3 linked regions of the Arabidopsis thaliana genome follow. The protein of the gene in region 2 interacts with the protein of the main gene of each other region in a pairwise test. Each region holds a gene or a part of one and is shown on either strand. Other genes may lie near its edges.

What was found.
Region 1: the proteins of CFIM-25 (region 2) and AT1G49850 interact in a two-hybrid assay, tested with the Arabidopsis thaliana proteins (one large-scale study listed by BioGRID).
Region 3: the proteins of CFIM-25 (region 2) and SIP1 interact in a two-hybrid assay, tested with the Arabidopsis thaliana proteins (one large-scale study listed by BioGRID).

What each region holds. Positions count from the first base shown.
Region 1 is NC_003070.9:18,454,007-18,459,086, reverse strand, and holds AT1G49850 (RING/U-box superfamily protein), read left to right. Parts: upstream 1-2,467; 5' UTR 2,468-2,642; coding exon 2,643-2,855; intron 2,856-2,944; coding exon 2,945-3,138; intron 3,139-3,415; coding exon 3,416-3,761; 3' UTR 3,762-4,243; downstream 4,244-5,080. Other genes in the region: GSTF14 (glutathione S-transferase (class phi) 14), read right to left, coding at 73-121, 222-377; AT1G49840 (glutamyl-tRNA (Gln) amidotransferase subunit A (DUF620)), read right to left, coding at 4,930-5,080. UniProt on the Arabidopsis thaliana protein: Probable E3 ubiquitin-protein ligase that may possess E3 ubiquitin ligase activity in vitro.
Region 2 is NC_003075.7:14,595,015-14,600,202, forward strand, and holds CFIM-25 (homolog of CFIM-25), read right to left. Parts: upstream 2,503-5,188; 5' UTR 2,304-2,502; coding exon 2,119-2,303; intron 2,028-2,118; coding exon 1,982-2,027; intron 1,882-1,981; coding exon 1,788-1,881; intron 1,698-1,787; coding exon 1,624-1,697; intron 1,536-1,623; coding exon 1,449-1,535; intron 1,349-1,448; coding exon 1,238-1,348; intron 1,105-1,237; coding exon 1,033-1,104; 3' UTR 666-1,032; downstream 1-665. Other genes in the region: MKK2 (MAP kinase kinase 2), read right to left, coding at 1-62, 151-227; VIP3 (Transducin/WD40 repeat-like superfamily protein), read left to right, coding at 2,714-3,052, 3,517-4,143; MTO2 (Pyridoxal-5'-phosphate-dependent enzyme family protein), read right to left, coding at 4,420-5,188. UniProt on the Arabidopsis thaliana protein: Component of the cleavage factor Im (CFIm) complex that plays a key role in pre-mRNA 3'-processing. Involved in association with CPSF6 or CPSF7 in pre-MRNA 3'-end poly(A) site cleavage and poly(A) addition.
Region 3 is NC_003070.9:20,834,419-20,841,117, forward strand, and holds SIP1 (seed imbibition 1), read right to left. Parts: upstream 4,361-6,699; 5' UTR 4,290-4,360; coding exon 4,099-4,289; intron 3,996-4,098; coding exon 3,751-3,995; intron 3,666-3,750; coding exon 3,575-3,665; intron 3,484-3,574; coding exon 3,435-3,483; intron 3,344-3,434; coding exon 3,252-3,343; intron 3,177-3,251; coding exon 3,069-3,176; intron 2,983-3,068; coding exon 2,437-2,982; intron 2,346-2,436; coding exon 2,204-2,345; intron 2,138-2,203; coding exon 2,070-2,137; intron 1,974-2,069; coding exon 1,839-1,973; intron 1,766-1,838; coding exon 1,548-1,765; intron 1,469-1,547; coding exon 1,089-1,468; 3' UTR 838-1,088; downstream 1-837. Other genes in the region: AT1G55750 (BSD domain (BTF2-like transcription factors, Synapse-associated proteins and DOS2-like proteins)), read right to left, coding at 6,031-6,117, 6,278-6,346, 6,557-6,604. UniProt on the Arabidopsis thaliana protein: Transglycosidase operating by a ping-pong reaction mechanism. Involved in the synthesis of raffinose, a major soluble carbohydrate in seeds, roots and tubers.

The DNA of each region.
Region 1 (5,080 bases), on a different chromosome or scaffold from region 2:
TTTTGCAAAACCTCCACATTCAAATCCAAGACTTCAAATAAAATTCCAGAATAAGAAACAAGATTATAGTACCGAAAAGTTTGAGATCTCCATCTTCAAGAACCGGGACTTCACCAAATGGCTGCAAGAAAAGAAGAGAATGATTGTTCATTCAAACACATATGAAGTTAAATAAATTTGGTAGATGCAAACAGTTAAGAGTTAAGTGTGAGAGATTATACGTTGAGAGTAGAGAGAAAAGTTTTGGTTTTGGCTTCACCAGCAAGCCAATCTACGAAGACAAGCTCAAAGTCAAGACCTTTCTCATTGATACAAAAGAGAGCTGCCGAATTACCCCAGATAAAGCCACAGTGGAGCTTCATCTTAGAATCAGCCATGTTGTTTTCTTTGTCTATTTACTAGATTAGTTATATTATTGGGTGATGAGTCCTATTGTGATCTCCGTATTTATAGTTGTGAAAAAGTATATGTAATAATCAATAACCTTTCGGCCTTCTAAGAGTTTTTTTTTTGGGTGTAAATGTTAAATGCCTTCTAAGAGTTGGTCATCGATCGATAAATGATAGTATAGTTTAGATTAAGTATTAAATACCTGTCAGACTCTCTAGAGTTTTAATAAAGGGTGAAACTAAGTCAATAACAACCAGAAATGAGTTAATTAACAAAGTGGCAATAAAAAAACGAATTAAAAGAGGGAAATTTTATCTAGAACCAACTTTTTATACTGCATCTACTAGTACATAGACTATTAGATTTGACATTTGAGTTAAGTAAACTAACTAATCAATAATTGCTCCATTTATAAAATTTTAGTGTTTCATAATTATAATGATCTCCCGCTTTCTTAGGAAACTCAGACAACCTCCAACGGTGATTCTAGATGAGCTCTAGAGAGGTGAGACCATCCTCAACGCCAGTATGCTATGAAAATTTATAAAAGGATAAAAATAATAATATTTTAATTTTACAGTTATATTTTAAATATTTTATATAGATAGACCAATAATAAAGATGAACGTGTCTTTGGGTTTGTGATATCGTCTCTTAGCTAAGAGTTTTTGGAATTTCTCATTCTCTCTCTTTTTTTAACTTTTAATTATTTTTATTTTTTTAATTGTTAAGAATTCTATTAAACAACTATCGTTAACGGTGGTCTGAAGCCCTTAGAAAAAAGCCAACATTTAAAGAAAAAATGTGATGAAGTGGATGGAACTCACTTTAGCTAAGAACATTTTTTGTTTGGAAAGAGGCCCATACCTATCATGTTTCATAGGTTCGGTAATGTGAGGAAAGAACATTAATTTTTTTTCCCGTGTATTTTTTTTCTCTTTTCTCTCGTAAAATCCGATGATGATTACGAATCGATCATCATCAACCGTCATCTAGATCATTAAGTAGAAGAAAACCAAAGAAGCTCGTCTCTTATCCGCCGTGATCATCATCATCTACACCGACGGTGCTCACATCTGCGAATTCGATGAACTAAATCGGAGAGTTTGTTTAACCAAATCGGAAATTTATGTGAAACTATGCTCCAATCGTTTGATAAAGGGTGAAAGCAACTAAATAACAACTAATAAATGAGTTAATTAACAAAGTGGCAATAAAAAAACAAAATTAAAAGAGGAAAATTTTATCTAGAACCAACTTGTATACTGCAACTAGTACATTAACAATTAGATTTGAGTTAAGCAACTAACTAATCAATAGTTTCTCCATTTATTCATTTTTTTTCGGGAAAAATGTTGTTTAATACACCAACTTTCAAAAAGTGGCCATTTAAACCATGAACTCCATATATGGCCAAATAAAACTTAGTAAAAGCGTTGACCGACCATTTTATACATCTCAAAACGTTGACCAGGCCAAAAATCCTGCGACGTTAGCAGTCGTTAACAGAGTCGATAACAGGCGTTAGCAGGCGTTAATTAATCCGTTTAAACACAAAAATCTTCAAACGAACAAAAATGGAGAGGCTTTTGAAGATTTTTGAATTTGGGAATTTTAGGGCATGAGAATTGGAATTGGGGATTTTAGGGATTGAGAATCGAATTGGGAATTTTGTTGGTTTCGATTAAACACAAAACGACGTCGTTTGTGTTTAAACGGATTAATTAACGTCTGCTAACGCCTATTATCGACTCTATTAACGACTGCTAACGTCGCAGGGTTTTTGGCCGGATCAATGTTTTGGAATATATAAAATGGCCGATCAACGCTTTTACTAAGTTTTATTTGGCCATATATGGAGTTCATAGTTTAAATGGCCACTTTTTGAAAGTTGGTATATTAAACAACATTTTTTCCCTTTTTTTCCGTCAATTTCTCCATTTATTCAGTTTAGTGTTTCATAATGCTCTCCCCGTTTTCTTGGGACCTATGTATTAGTGGACTTTACTTGGATAGGCCCAATAATTGGGCTTTTCCCCTTAGTTTTTTATTACAGCGACACCGTTTTTAAAGATGTTTTGTCTTAGCTCCGACAGCAAGTGGGAGATGACGTCACCTTTTCACTGCAGTTTCCCTTTACTTTTTCCTCGCAATTTTCTCTCTTCTCTCTCTCTGTCCTCCTTATCTCATCGTCTCTGACTCGCTGCACTTAGTTTCAGATCATATAAACGAATTTGGTGATTGATCGGTGCATGACGAGCGCATCGGAACTCTTCTCTACACGAAGATCACGTCCGGGTCGATCCGACCCGGCTTTAGAATCCGACACTTCTTCCTATCGACACCACTCACACCATCATCATCGCCGTCACGGCGTCCATCATCATAATCAGCGTCATGATTCCGACGGCTGTGATCCTCTCCGGCGACCCACTCCCCGTCTCCGACGCTTCTTTCACCATCCGGTTAGTTACTTTCCACCAAATTAGTAATTACTAATTTCAGTAGTTGTCTGAATTTGGTCCTTTTTACTAAAATCTCCCCTAATTTACAGATTCAGGAACGTAGTAGACCTATTCGTGATGTTCAAGGCACTAGTCAGTATTTAAATACGGATAGTACTGATACTGAAACTCAGAGTAGCAGCTTTGTTAACCTAAATGGATCCGAGAGGCTTCCTGGAGCTGTTCTGCTTGCAAGGGATAGACTTTTCGAAAGATTGAGAGGTGTTTCTTTGTCTAGTAACAGGTCTGTGCTTAACCCACTGATAAATTTTACAGCTTTACTTGATCTGCACTCTAGTCTGATTTTAGATTTCTTTAAAAATAATTGCTTTTGTCTGATCAAGATTCTTTGAAGCATGTTTTGATTTTGCTCTTGTTTCTTGTGAGGATTGGTCAAGACTTAGTGTAAAAATCAGTTTTTGTGGATTATTGTTGCTTTGTGTATTCTTTAATATCTTCTTTGAAGCCTCTTTTTCAAAATTTGGTTACGGATTTGTTTCAACTTTGTTTTTCTGATTCAGTCGAAGCAACAGAGTTTCATTGGATGATCAAAGGGAGTCTTCATTTCATTCTATAGATGGAGATCCAATTTTTCAACTAGCAGGGCTTCAAGTGACCTATGAATGCAACAAGAAACCACAAGGTCTTACTCAAGATGCTATTAACTGTTTACACCGGCAAACTTTTAGCTCAGCCGAGGTTAAATCCGAGATGAGAGATTGTAGCATATGTTTAGAGAGTTTCACTAAAGGTGACATGCTAATATCCTTACCCTGTACCCATAGTTTCCATTCTTCTTGCTTAAACCCTTGGCTTAGAGCTTGTGGAGATTGTCCTTGTTGCCGTAGAGCCATAGCAAAGGAATAGAAACTTGTAAATAGAATCTTTGCCTAACCATTAGGCCATAGCCATACACATCTTCTCTTCTTCTTGCTATAGACATCCTTAAAACGATCTTCTGAGTTTTGTCGCCCATGAGTGTTTTTTTTACTGTCACATGTTTGTAATGGTTTTTGTTGTGCCATTAGGCAGTTCAAGCGTTGATATCGTATGGTGTGAATCTTTTTAGTTTTATTCACTGTGATCTCTCTTTTAATGTCTTGTTGGTTATATGAAAGAGACTTTTTCCAAATCCAAATCTTGATCCGACAATTTGGTTATGCTTTGAGGTTATAGCTCAACAACTTAACGTTTTCATTTTCAGAAATTTTGATTGTCTCAATCTGGTGATACTACTTTAAAGCTTTGCTTCCTCTTCCAAAACGTTGTCATTATCATACATCCATGTACGTTACATATATTGAAGTCTAATATCAAAAGATTCAATCAATTTATAACAACTTTAAAAGAAAGTTATGCCAAAAAAAAGAGAACTTTAAAACAAAGTTAAGGCTAAAAGGAGAAGACAGTTGTGCACAAAAAGCTATTTTTTGCTACAAAAGCATATCAAAATGGACCCCTTTCTTCATAAATTCATGATCATCATCTTCAATTCCTTTCATAAAATCCCATTTATTTGCTCCTAACCATCACTTTCTCTATTGGGTACCTAACACACCTCACTCTCTAACCACTAAAATTAACAATACATACATTAAGAATGTCCTGCCTTTCTTTTTCTATCACATCAATTTCATGTCTTCGACAACATTAAAACCTATATGATTCAAATTCAACCAACTTAAAACGGTTTAGTTCAGTTTAAAATCAACGAAAGCTGAAGAAGATAAGAGAGCTTCACTTGCTAACAATTAACTTTCCATAGATTGAAATTTTGACTTGCTAGAAAAATATGAGACAAATTCAACATTTAAGCAGCAATTCTCCTTCTCTTGCTGCAAATAAATCCCATCACCTTACTCAATAATATTGAAGGCGACAAAGAAAATAAGAGAAATGAAACTTAAATAAACCAATCGTGTAATCAAACTCCTAATATTTGAGCTGTTAAACAAAGGGGTTAGTTAGTCTCATTTCAAGGCTCGAGTCTTGTTATTAGGATTACTATGCACAGATTGCATCTTCCCTACCATACTCAGACATCAATATGCCAAACAGGATCATTGTCGAAGCTTCCTTTCTCCAAGGCTGCAACTTTAGCTCTATGAGCTGTTGTTGAAGCCAACGCTAGTGAGCTCTTCCCTTTCTCCTCTTGACCCGAGTACTCGCAGGCTTCAGTTAACGAA
Region 2 (5,188 bases):
GTAGATCTCCATCCTTAAACGTACCGCTTTGAGTCCTACAGAGAGAACCAAAACCTTTCCTCCTTCAAAAACAAAACCAGAGACATTTCCACACACAAATACATCTATCTATCCACAGATCCATGGAGAAAGAGAGATCGAGAAACATACAGGAATTTGGTGATGGATTGCTCGCCAGCAACAGGAATTGCGAGCTTGAGATTATTGCTGAATCCACCTTTCTTCATCGTCTTCGTCTACTTCGTTCTTCGCTTCTTCCTTTTTGTTGTTTCCTCGTCATTATATATTAAGTAAAACACAGTTTTAAGCATAATTCATGTACTTTTCAGCCAGAAATTGGAATTTGGAAATAAAACAGCCATTAATTAATATTAGTCAAGCACATGTTCACGACGTTGACCAACGACTTAGAGACTTTCCCATTTACTACTTCTTTTTCCCGGTTTTCTTTGACCGAAAAGTTTTAATCCACATTTTAACCGGAAACAAACCGGTTAATTCAGTGATTCTTCGTTCTTTAGCTTTTGGTTTTTAAACACTCCCAAAATCACCACTACAACAAAACGCTAACGCAGAATGCCAAACTAACGTTTGATATTTATAGAAAGTTTTCAATATTTCAAATATTGTTTGATCAAATACAATAAACACATATAACAAACAGTAAAATCTTTACTTATGTTTCTCGGTTTCATGTTTGAAGATAACAAGGTTTTCTTCAACAAGGAATATACAAATAAGCATACACCCCTATATTTGTTTTACTCATGTATACATTCAATTACACATCGAAATTATCACACAAAGAAAAATTGTTTCGAATTGATTAATCTATCTATCAGTATACTTCATGTCTAGTCTCTATAACCAACAAGAACATGCTATTCTTCAACATTGTCTATATATTATAAGCCCTATATACATTATATAGTCACAGACTCAGAGAGGCTCCACAAACGATTTCCCCAAACATAATCCTATCACAAATTGCGGGGGGCAAGAGCTACTAGAGGCAATGATCATGAGGTTCGTTCATATCTCCATCATGTTGAAGGAGAATTTCGAAAGAAGCTTAGGAATTTGCGACATGATCGGCCCATAAGTCTGCAACGCATAAATGAAACATCACAACACATAATTAAATACAGCTTGATTGACTGACCCTGTTAGTTTTACCAGGAACATCGATTAAAAGTTCACGATGAGTTAAGGGCAATGCAAGTAAGATAGTACATACCTTTTCATTTTCATGGAGTTGACACAATGGAACAGCGAGGAGTTTGAAGTTCTTAGGCACAACAAACTGTTGATGTACCGGTAATCTCACAAGAAAAAGCTTTGTGCATTCCTACACAAAAGATGAGGATAGAGCAGAGCTTTTAGTATAAGCGCAAATCTTCAAAAGTCTCAACTTTTTCTTACAATGAAAGTGAAACTAACTAACCAACCTTTGGGTGTTTAATATTAGGTGGCAAGAAAGGATACATCAATGTCTCAAAGTTGGGTCTCCACCACATCCCAATACATTCTCCTACCTACAACAATGTTGTAATTAGAGAGACCATTCTTAAGCCAGAAACAATCAGATACAAAAGCACTTTAACAAGAAGCCATAGTTCCTACCTCATAACCCGAAACACCCACATTTTCGTTAACCGATAGCTTTGATGCTAGTTTCCGTTTTAGACCTTCAATATCTAGAAGATTAAGGAGAAACATGACTTTAGCGTTTAGAATTGAGACAGCGATATTTATGCATAAAGATGCAAGGAAACAGCATACTAAACCTGATTCTCCAGGTCTCAAACGACCACCAGGAAGCTTGAAAATGGAGTTTCTATATTGAAGAAGCAAAACATGAGGATGCTTGAACAACTCAACCTGATGTGTCCCAACATTAGATTTTAATCAATCCTTTCAAACCAATTTTCCCTGTAAAACTTTTCAAAATCCCTAATTTGGCTACCAACTATAAAATTACCAGAAGAACAGCTTCAACGCAAGTTCTCAATCCATGAGCAGCATAACTTCAAAAGAAACAAAAAAGAAACTTTAGCTATAGATTAAAACAATAAGAAAAAAACCAGATGATCTAAATCACATCAAAACTCGATTTACTTGGATTTCAATCTGATGACTCGATCAGAGATAATCTCGTCCTTGACGCGAAGAGCTTCTTTTGAACCGAAGTAGTAGCTGCTAAGCGGGTATAAATCAACCATCAAGTCATGAACGACATCGTTTCGTCTCGTCGTGTTGTCACTGATCTCCTCCATATCTAACGCTCGAGCTTCTTCACCCATTTTCTGCCCGTAAAATTCAAAGACGAGAGCTAAAAGCGATCTCAATCGATTAAAATTAAATAACAGAGAGACCACGAGAGCAGAGAAGACGCAAGAAGAAGAGTGAAGAAAGGTGTCGTAGTCGGATCACTGAGACGTGGCGGCTCCAGAGAGTACTTCTCCGCAATTAGCTGACGACGGCGGGAGAGTGAGGAAGAAGATATTAATGGGCCTGTTACGATATTAATGGGCCTTTAGTAGTAAACAAGAATACGGAACGATGTTAAACACTCTATTGTTTCCAACTACTAAAAACGACGCGAGTTTCTATTTTATAACTAAAAAACGAGAATCAAAGTCTCTGTTTCAAATTTGGGTCTTTTGCTTCTTCTTGCTCACTTGAGGAAACACAGTAAAAACCTAAAAAGAGAATGAAACTCGCAGGTCTGAAATCGATCGAGAACGCTCACGAAGATTCCGTTTGGGCAGCGACGTGGGTTCCGGCGACGGAAGATCGACCGGCGTTGCTTCTGACTGGATCTCTTGACGAGACGGTGAAGTTATGGCGACCGGACGAGCTGGATCTTGTGCGGACTAATACTGGACACTCTTTGGGAGTAGCAGCTTTGGCTGCGCATCCTTCTGGGATTATTGCAGCATCTTCTTCGATTGATAGCTTTGTCCGTGTGTTTGATGTTGATACTAATGCTACGATTGCTGTTTTGGAAGCTCCTCCTTCTGAGGTTTGGGGAATGCAATTTGAACCTAAGGTAATTGACTCAATGAGATTGCCTCCAATTTTAGGGTTTTGAAGGATTTTGGGTTGTTTTGTGGTGAAAGAATTCGATTGCTTCATTGAATTTCACTTCTTAGTTGCGAGTAATGCTTCTCCTGATCTATATAACAATGCTTGGGTACTATATGGAATTGCTGAGTATCGTTTGAATCTGTAGCTCTGATCAGATAGGGTCATCTACTCTGCTCGGAAAATAGATCTAGATCATCTTCTGATTTTTCATTGAGTCTTATATAGTAGATTAAGAACAATTTATTGGTGCTTTGATGATAAATCTTGATTTGGTATGATAGAATTTTGACCTGGTGACTATCAAGTATCAGTGCAATGATCTCTCTTTTAGTTTGCAGTGGAGTTTTTATTTGCTTCTGAGCTTATAATTTCAACATTACTCTTTAGAATGGTGCTCTGCTAACATAGTATTTTACATGTTCCAAGGGTACGATCCTTGCTGTTGCAGGTGGAAGTAGTGCCTCAGTCAAGCTTTGGGACACTGCAAGCTGGAGATTAATCTCAACTCTATCAATCCCACGCCCAGATGCACCAAAACCTTCCGATAAAACCAGCAGCAAGAAATTCGTTCTCTCGGTGGCTTGGTCTCCTAATGGGAAACGACTTGCTTGTGGTTCAATGGATGGTACGATCTGTGTTTTTGATGTTGACCGCTCAAAGCTACTTCACCAGCTAGAAGGTCACAATATGCCTGTAAGGTCCCTTGTGTTCTCCCCTGTAGACCCGAGAGTCCTCTTCTCTGGATCAGATGATGGGCATGTGAACATGCACGATGCAGAAGGGAAAACGCTGTTGGGGTCCATGTCAGGGCACACGAGTTGGGTGCTGAGCGTTGATGCTAGCCCAGACGGTGGAGCCATAGCAACCGGCTCAAGCGATAGAACTGTGAGGCTATGGGATCTTAAAATGAGAGCTGCGATTCAGACAATGAGCAACCACAATGACCAGGTTTGGTCTGTGGCCTTTAGACCACCAGGTGGAACCGGTGTCCGGGCTGGTCGACTTGCTAGTGTCTCTGATGACAAGAGTGTATCGCTCTATGATTACTCATGAACAATTCGGTTTTTTGACTTTTTTCTTTTATGCATTCTCCAAGACGCATCTAGTTGTAACAATATAATCTGCAACAGGTTGATTTTGACCGGAGTCTTTAGATTTATCGCTTACACAAAAAACAAAGAAGATAAAATGATTCAAACTTTGCGATAGAACTTTATTGGAAAACTGAGAAACAGATAAAGATCACAGAGAGATGAGTTGAAGAGTAACGCAAACAAACGTCTAAAAGTTTTCAAAAAACAAAACAGCTAAAGATTATGGTCTTGTCTCTTATGACGTAAGTGTATTACTTCCTAAGTAACTCTTGAGAACATCCATGACAGCTCCGAAATCTGCTTTCACATCAACAGGAGGATTGGAGAATCTGCAAGCCATGTCAGGGATGGCATTGGAGTGATAATCTATCTTAGACTGAGTAAACTTCAACCCATGAGCAGTACTCACTACCACAGTTCGATCAGTCGGTGCAATCACTCCTTGATTCCTCAGCTTGAACAGAGCAGTTAGAGCAACACCTGTATGAGGACAGATAAACATTCCTGTCGAATCCGCTTGAGCCATCGCATCCATCAGCTCCTCCTCTGTGGCTTCTTCTACAATACCATTGCACTTCTTGAGAGCGTACACAGCTCTATCGATGGAGACAGGGTCACCGATCTGAATCGCAGAGGCGAAAGTGGTACTTGCAGTCATGGGCTTGAAGTCCTTCCAACCAGACTTGTAGTGCAAGTAAAGAGGATTAGCATTAGCTGCTTGTGCACAGACCATCCTCGGGATCCTATCGACAAGTCCCAGTTCTTGACACATCTTAAACCCTTTGTAAAAGGCATAGATGTTTCCTAGGTTACCTCCAGGAACAATCACCCAATCAGGAACTTGCCAATCAAACTGCTGCAAAATCTCAATAGCTGCAGTTTTCTGCCCTTCTAACCTCAAACTATTCAACGAATTCGCCAAATAAATCGGCAATTCCGCAGTTATCTCTCTAATCAGCTTCATACACCCATCAAAATCAGTGTCAATACTCAAAACAAACGCA
Region 3 (6,699 bases), on a different chromosome or scaffold from region 2:
CTTCTTCGGAGATTTGTGATCCCAATGGTCTGTTCTTTTTTATTGAGAGATGATACTAAAGAATTTGGGAGATGTCAGTAAACAAGTGCGTGATCGAGAGGAACTTTCCTTCTTCTACTCATTTTTAAAGACATGTTTCGATTTTTTATTTTCTTCTTTCAAATAATTTATGAAACTAGTTAATTGAATTTATTTAGACTTAGAAAAGAAAAAAGACTATTGGAACTTTATCTAATTTCCGATTTTTAAAAAATATTTGGACTCAATATTGTTACTTTCTAATGTTATGACTAATGAATATTGAAATATATGTGAACTGTGAATTACTGTGAAGATTTAAATATAGGAGAAAAAAAAGAGCAATTGCGGTCGATAAATTTTATTTTAATATCAGTTTTTAGTTAAAACATAGTGGTCCTAAACATGACGTGTTACCATAGTCCAGAATAAATTAACTATCGACCGCATCAAGTAATCCCAATTTTTTTAAAACTTTTTTGTTAAGGCAATTTTTTTATCATTGATTCGATCCCTTTCGTTTCTGGACTTAAATAAATCGTTTATAATTTCTTAAAATTTTCCTTTCAAAAGACGACCAAAAAAAAAAAAAAATCCTTTCAAAAAATATCATAAACTGATCAATTACTAGACCGAACCAAATCAAAATAATTAGACCAAAACCAAATTTTCTATAAAAACATTTAGGGTGTGTGTAGAAGTCATTTTCAGAGTAATTAAGAATGCTTTAATTTGCGAGTTTTATTAGTGGAAGTATTGCTAAAAATGCACGGATCTACTAGTCTACTACTATCTACAGATATGATTACATAGTCGTCTGGTTGTTCTCTTGTGGACAACTAAATTTGCACCATAACATTTTACAGATTTTACACCGTTGATGATAAATAAGAAGGAAGAAAATGATTACACTAATGCATGCTAAGCCATACAACAAACATTTTTTTTTTGTATTATTATATCAAAACGAACACGGACCAATCTGTTTGATTTGTATTGGTCTGGTCGATAACCCATACAGATTAACCAACAAATCAATACAGAACTGATACAATTATACAGATCAATAATTATTGGATGACCACGTCCCACAGATACAATTCTTTCTCCGGAACTCCTAAAGTAAACGTAACTAAACCGGATTCCGGTTCATACCGGTACTCCACGTCGTCTGAATCCACCGTAACACTTCGTGGTCGTCGAACGGACGAGTAAACACCAACCAAACCACTGCCTCGAAGTTTCATCCTAACGACAAATTTAGTCCCCTCGTCATCGTATCTTAAACTCACAATGGCTCCTCCAGAATTAAACATCTCCATAAGCCCCACCGGTGCAAATTTACTTCCATCGGAAAATTCCTTCACCGGAACCACCGTGAAAACTTCGTATTCACGTGGCATCAATGTCACTGGTAAAGATGTATCTTTTGGGAGATACACTAACTCTCCTGATAGAAAAGGAAAAAAAAAGTGAAGGTTTTAGTATAATCAGAGTAATTTAGACTGATGTTTGAGTTTGTGTACTACCTCTGAGATGGGAATAGACAATGGAATCTCCTGTCCATTCAAAGGCTGCTACTTTATGAAGATAATGAACATCATTGGTTCGGACACAACCAGAAATGGTCCCAGGTTCTTGGTCATGGATTAGGTATCTCTTCTCGTTCTTACACCATCCAGCGCCTTGGCAGTTGAAAACTCCAATAACGCCAGTGAATTCGTTCAGGTTCCATATTTTCAGAAGACTTGCAAAGTATAATACAACAGTTAGTTAAGATTTAAGCTTTCTTCTCTTCCAAGTAAAGGAAAACGAGATACCTTTTATTGTCTCTGACTGGATCACTGAAGAAGCAATCACTGGTTGGTCTTCCGGGAAGCTTTGCTCTGAGTATGGAACCGTCTCGAAGTACTAGCTTTCTTAAAAGGTTGAAGTCATGTTGTCCCGGTTTGTCGCTGTTTAACAAGTTTGAATGGATCTAGAGTTACTTACTTGCAGCTCATTTTACTATGATAATTTGTTTGTCAAATGGTATTGAATCTTGTGATTACCTGACATATATGGCACATCCTCCAACCGCGCGAGCTGCAGCATGATATTCAGCCATCGGATGCAAACTCTGCAATGAGAAACAGATAGATTCATTCACAAGTTCAGAAAAGTTTGTTAAAGCAATTCAACGTACATGAAACATGTCCCAGTCCGGCTGCATAAACTCTCCAAGGAAAAGTGTGTTATATGCAACAGAAGCAATGTGGATCGTGTGTGAAGCGGGGTCTCTAGGCCAGAAATCGTCTGATGCTCTTATAACAGCAGTCTTTTTTGCGCTAAAGTATCATTACAAGAAGAAATTAGAAGGGATAGTAATAATTATGGATAAATATCAATGAGAACAACGTTGTAGGTCCAGAAGCTAACCTGTAGAGACCATCTGTGTTATGACTCATGCAAGAGATAATACCATTGTCAGGGAAGTTTCTTGAAATAGAAGCTTCCAAAGCCTGGTGATACTTCTTTGCAAGTTTGACACGACCACCATGTCCAGCTCCAAGAGTTTCAAGAATGTTTTGGACGTCTACTTTGACACCATCGACCCCAACGGATGCAAGGTATGAGTGAAGATCATTATAGAAGCTAAAGACTTTCTCAGGATTCACCAAACCAAGTCCATTCTTAGTTATGCTTTCTAAACATCCACAATTCTCACTGGACATAACTCCTGGTGAAGAAACTGGATACGCAACCTTGGATTCGTAGTGTTCCATACCAGAAACACCTGGTTTGACTCCTCCCCAATATCCTGTTATCGCATGCCAAACATAAACATACTTGAGCGAATTATTACTCTTAATGTCTGTGATAACATGTCCAAGACTCAATGAAGGGTCATCCACCCGGTGGCCTTCTTTGCCATCCTTTTGAAACTTATGATTCTCCTTGATGTGAGTTAACCGGTTTGCAAAACTGAAGGTAAGCACAAAAGATAAAGAGTGGTTTATTAAGACTAAAGAAAGAACTTAAATCAGAATTAAGAGAGCTTAATTACTTACTTGGCAGCATTATCAGCGTTGAATTCTACACTGGTCTCATCCATGCCAACAGATTGCCATCCATCATCAATTATGACAAACTTTGGGGTAACCCCACCAGCTTTGAGGCTACAGAGAATCAGTGCAGGTTTGGTTAAGTCACAGTTACTAAAGCCATCTTCAAAAGTAAAGACTCAGGAGAACCTCTCAAGTCCTTGCTTGACGTCTTTGGCTGTGACATTGGTATAGAATGCATCCCAAGTGCACCAACCAAACCAATTCAACATATCTGGCATCTGAACACAACCAAAACAGGGGAAATTTTCAGAGTTAATTTTGGTATGTATATAATCAAAGATCACATAAAACGTCTCAATGTTTCCTTACTTTCTTTCTCTCTCGGTGTGAAAATGTTTGAAGATGTTGTTCAACAGCCCTGCATAATCATTGAAAGGCAAAGATTCTTAACCCTAAAAAAATTTGGACATAAAGAAGTCTTAAGTTGAGACTTGAGAAACATTACATACTTGACAGCTTTGGTAATGACATCAAAAGGGTCGGAGCCAGCAGCCACAAAAACCAAATGACTCCCTTCGAATTGGTCAACGGTTGGATCACCTTGACCATACAAAAACCATATAAATCTCAGAGAGAATCTAACAAAAAAAATTCAACTCAAATCTAGCTAGCTGTGTCAACTTACCACTTTCAAGACAAATCTCTAGCTCATTAGCCTCGTTCCCTTGAAGAACAGCTCTAAAATCTCCTTCAAGTATAGGTAAGAATACAACGTACGAAGAAGATTGATCTCTTCCTCCTAAATCAGAACCTTGGTTTGCTTCTACGATTAGAAACTGAGTCTCACAAGGAATCTCTTTCCCATTAGTCCCCATTCTTTGAGTCATCCACCATAATTTAAACCGGAAGACACACATAAACCTTAGGTCTCTGCCAAGGAAAAAAAAAACATTTATACCCTAAGCCTCAAGTAATTCAACAAATTATGTGACATCTAACAACAAAAGTGTAGGAAAGGGATTTTGAACAGTACTCGAGTTTGCCAAGGGAGAAGACACGGTGGCTTCCGGTTTGATCTGACGTGACGCCGATGAACGCGCCGTCGATTAAGGCGTTTCCCGAAGCTGGGGTAACTAAGACATTCTCCGGAACGCCGTGAAGAACACGGTGACCTAGCACCACCAAATCTGAGTCGGTGACGCTGATTCCGGCACCAACGGTCATTGTTACTTCCTTGTAGGGAAAACAAAAAAATAATAATGAAACCTCAAGACTCACGCTACTCTCGAGAGTGAGTTAATTAGTTGGACAAGAGGAATGATATTTATAGAACGTTATCGATGACGTGTTCATATCTAGCGGACACGAAAATGCAAAATAAAATTAGTATAATAAGATACGTACATTTATTTGAACAAAATTTGGAAAGGTAATTCGGTGAATTTCTATTTCTTGTAACCAATATTATGATTAGAGAATAACGTGTCAATTGTTTGGCGTGATTGTAAATGCTGAATAGTTGACATAATTATTCATAGACGGATATGATTCATTTCGAATATGATGTTTAAGTTTACTTTATTCTTGTCGTTCTTTTTTGGGTTTAATCATTGAAATCGCAAACTAATCCTCCTATATCTATTTGATGCACCATGTATAAATATAACCTCACTACAATGCTTGTAAAGTTGTAATTTGTTAAATATAAAAGATTCTCTACCTTTCAAATATGAAAATCGAAAATGCTATGAACCGAACATTTGGGATGTTTACTATCGATAATAATATGCGTTTTTATAGTGAAAGCTAAAGGACAAACATTAATTACTCATATGATAATACTAGGAAAAATCTTTTAACAAAGAAAATAATATAAAATATATTTGCATGCGAAAAGATCTACTAGTGGTATGTCAGTGATCATTAATAGAGCGGCGCAGATCTCTCTGGTACAAGGCCCACCATATGCACGACCATTGGACGGTTTGTTCTCAAATAAAGGTCACACATCTATTACCAATGCAACAACTTATGAACCAAGTAAATATCGATCAACTTATGAACCAAGTAAATATCGATACCTCTGTGGCTGTGTCTGGAAATAAGTAACTTCAACACAAAGAAAACCTAAACTCACCAATGTTTAGAGGAGAAAACAAAATCGAATATGTCAAGAGAAGAATATGCAAGTTATCTAGAAGGAGAAGACAAGTCCACAGGAAAATATGAAGACGAAAACGTGAGCCAAGTAAACTAACCAAAAGGCTTTTTCGGCCATATATATTATATCGTGCTTAATCAAAACCCAATCTCTAGTTAACGAGTTTATATGAAACCTAAAAGTGGAGAGTCCCCCTTTTCTTTTTCTTTATAGCTTTACTTATGGAGCTTGAATTTTGTATGTCATGTCAATATGACAAGCAATGAGTAACTTTATCTGTTTTTATTTTTTTCCTCACAATGAGTAAATTAATCATTCAAATCAAAAGTTATCCATGAATGCTATGTCAAAAAAAGTTTTATGTTGAATTTTATATATTTCTAATTTGGATTGTTGTTTGATGCGATTCAAACATTGAAATCTACTACGCCATCGAAGCATTTTCTCTATTATTGTCCCATTATTATAAATATTCACCAGTAACCAAATAACCAAACAATTATGGCACTGAGAGCTTTCTTGGAGCTGTAGTAACGTCCTCAAAGCCTGTAGAGAATTTACTAATACATTGCAAACTTAAAAATGTTCAGATCGAGAAAATCTCTTTGTTGTCTCTCGCAGTTAACAATATAACGCCTAATTAACAAAAAAAAGAAAAGAAAATATTACTACAATATAAACGCATTTTTGTATCTCAATGGTCGGACAAAAAGGGACAAATGAAGATTTTCAAAAACACCAACCAAGGCTGATGAAACAATTCAAAGATCTTGCAAAGCTTTTTAGTTTTAGTTTTTTTGTCCTCTATACGTAGCCGTTTGGTCTTTCGCCGCTCTTAGCTGTTCTTCTCTGCAGATCCACTTCGTAGTGATGGAACGCAGCGTCAAGAGCCTAGCAGAGAAAACCGATTAAGATCAATTTTCAAACCGGATTACAATGCAAGGCTGTAGAAACTGGATATAGATGCAATATGAGTGGAAAATATAGACTTAACCGAGACATGATGTAATAAAAGTATAAAACTCTTCCGTAGATATTGGAAGAAGCTAACCTGTTGCATTGGACGAACCAGTAGAGAAACCTGATGCCGGAGATCAGATTGCACCGACTCTTTCATTGCCTGAGTTACATGGAGTTTAATATCAAGGAAACCGTACAGTTGACCATATATATGCAAATAAGATTCGACTACAATACTGCATCAATTTTATTTACCCAAAAATTTCATTTTCGTAAACGCATTGGTATGATTAGGAACTACTGTTTTAACATAGCAGATTTACTATCAGTTGCTTATTCTGTCAGAAAGATGAAGAATTTCAAAGCTTACCTCAAGTTTTGAATATGTATTGGACATTGCATCCTTCAGTTTACCAACCTGCATGATAATAATATAACATCACAAGAATCGACGAAAAATATTTGGTATAATAACTTGCTCTTGGTGTATAATAAGATTAAATTTCCCGTGAA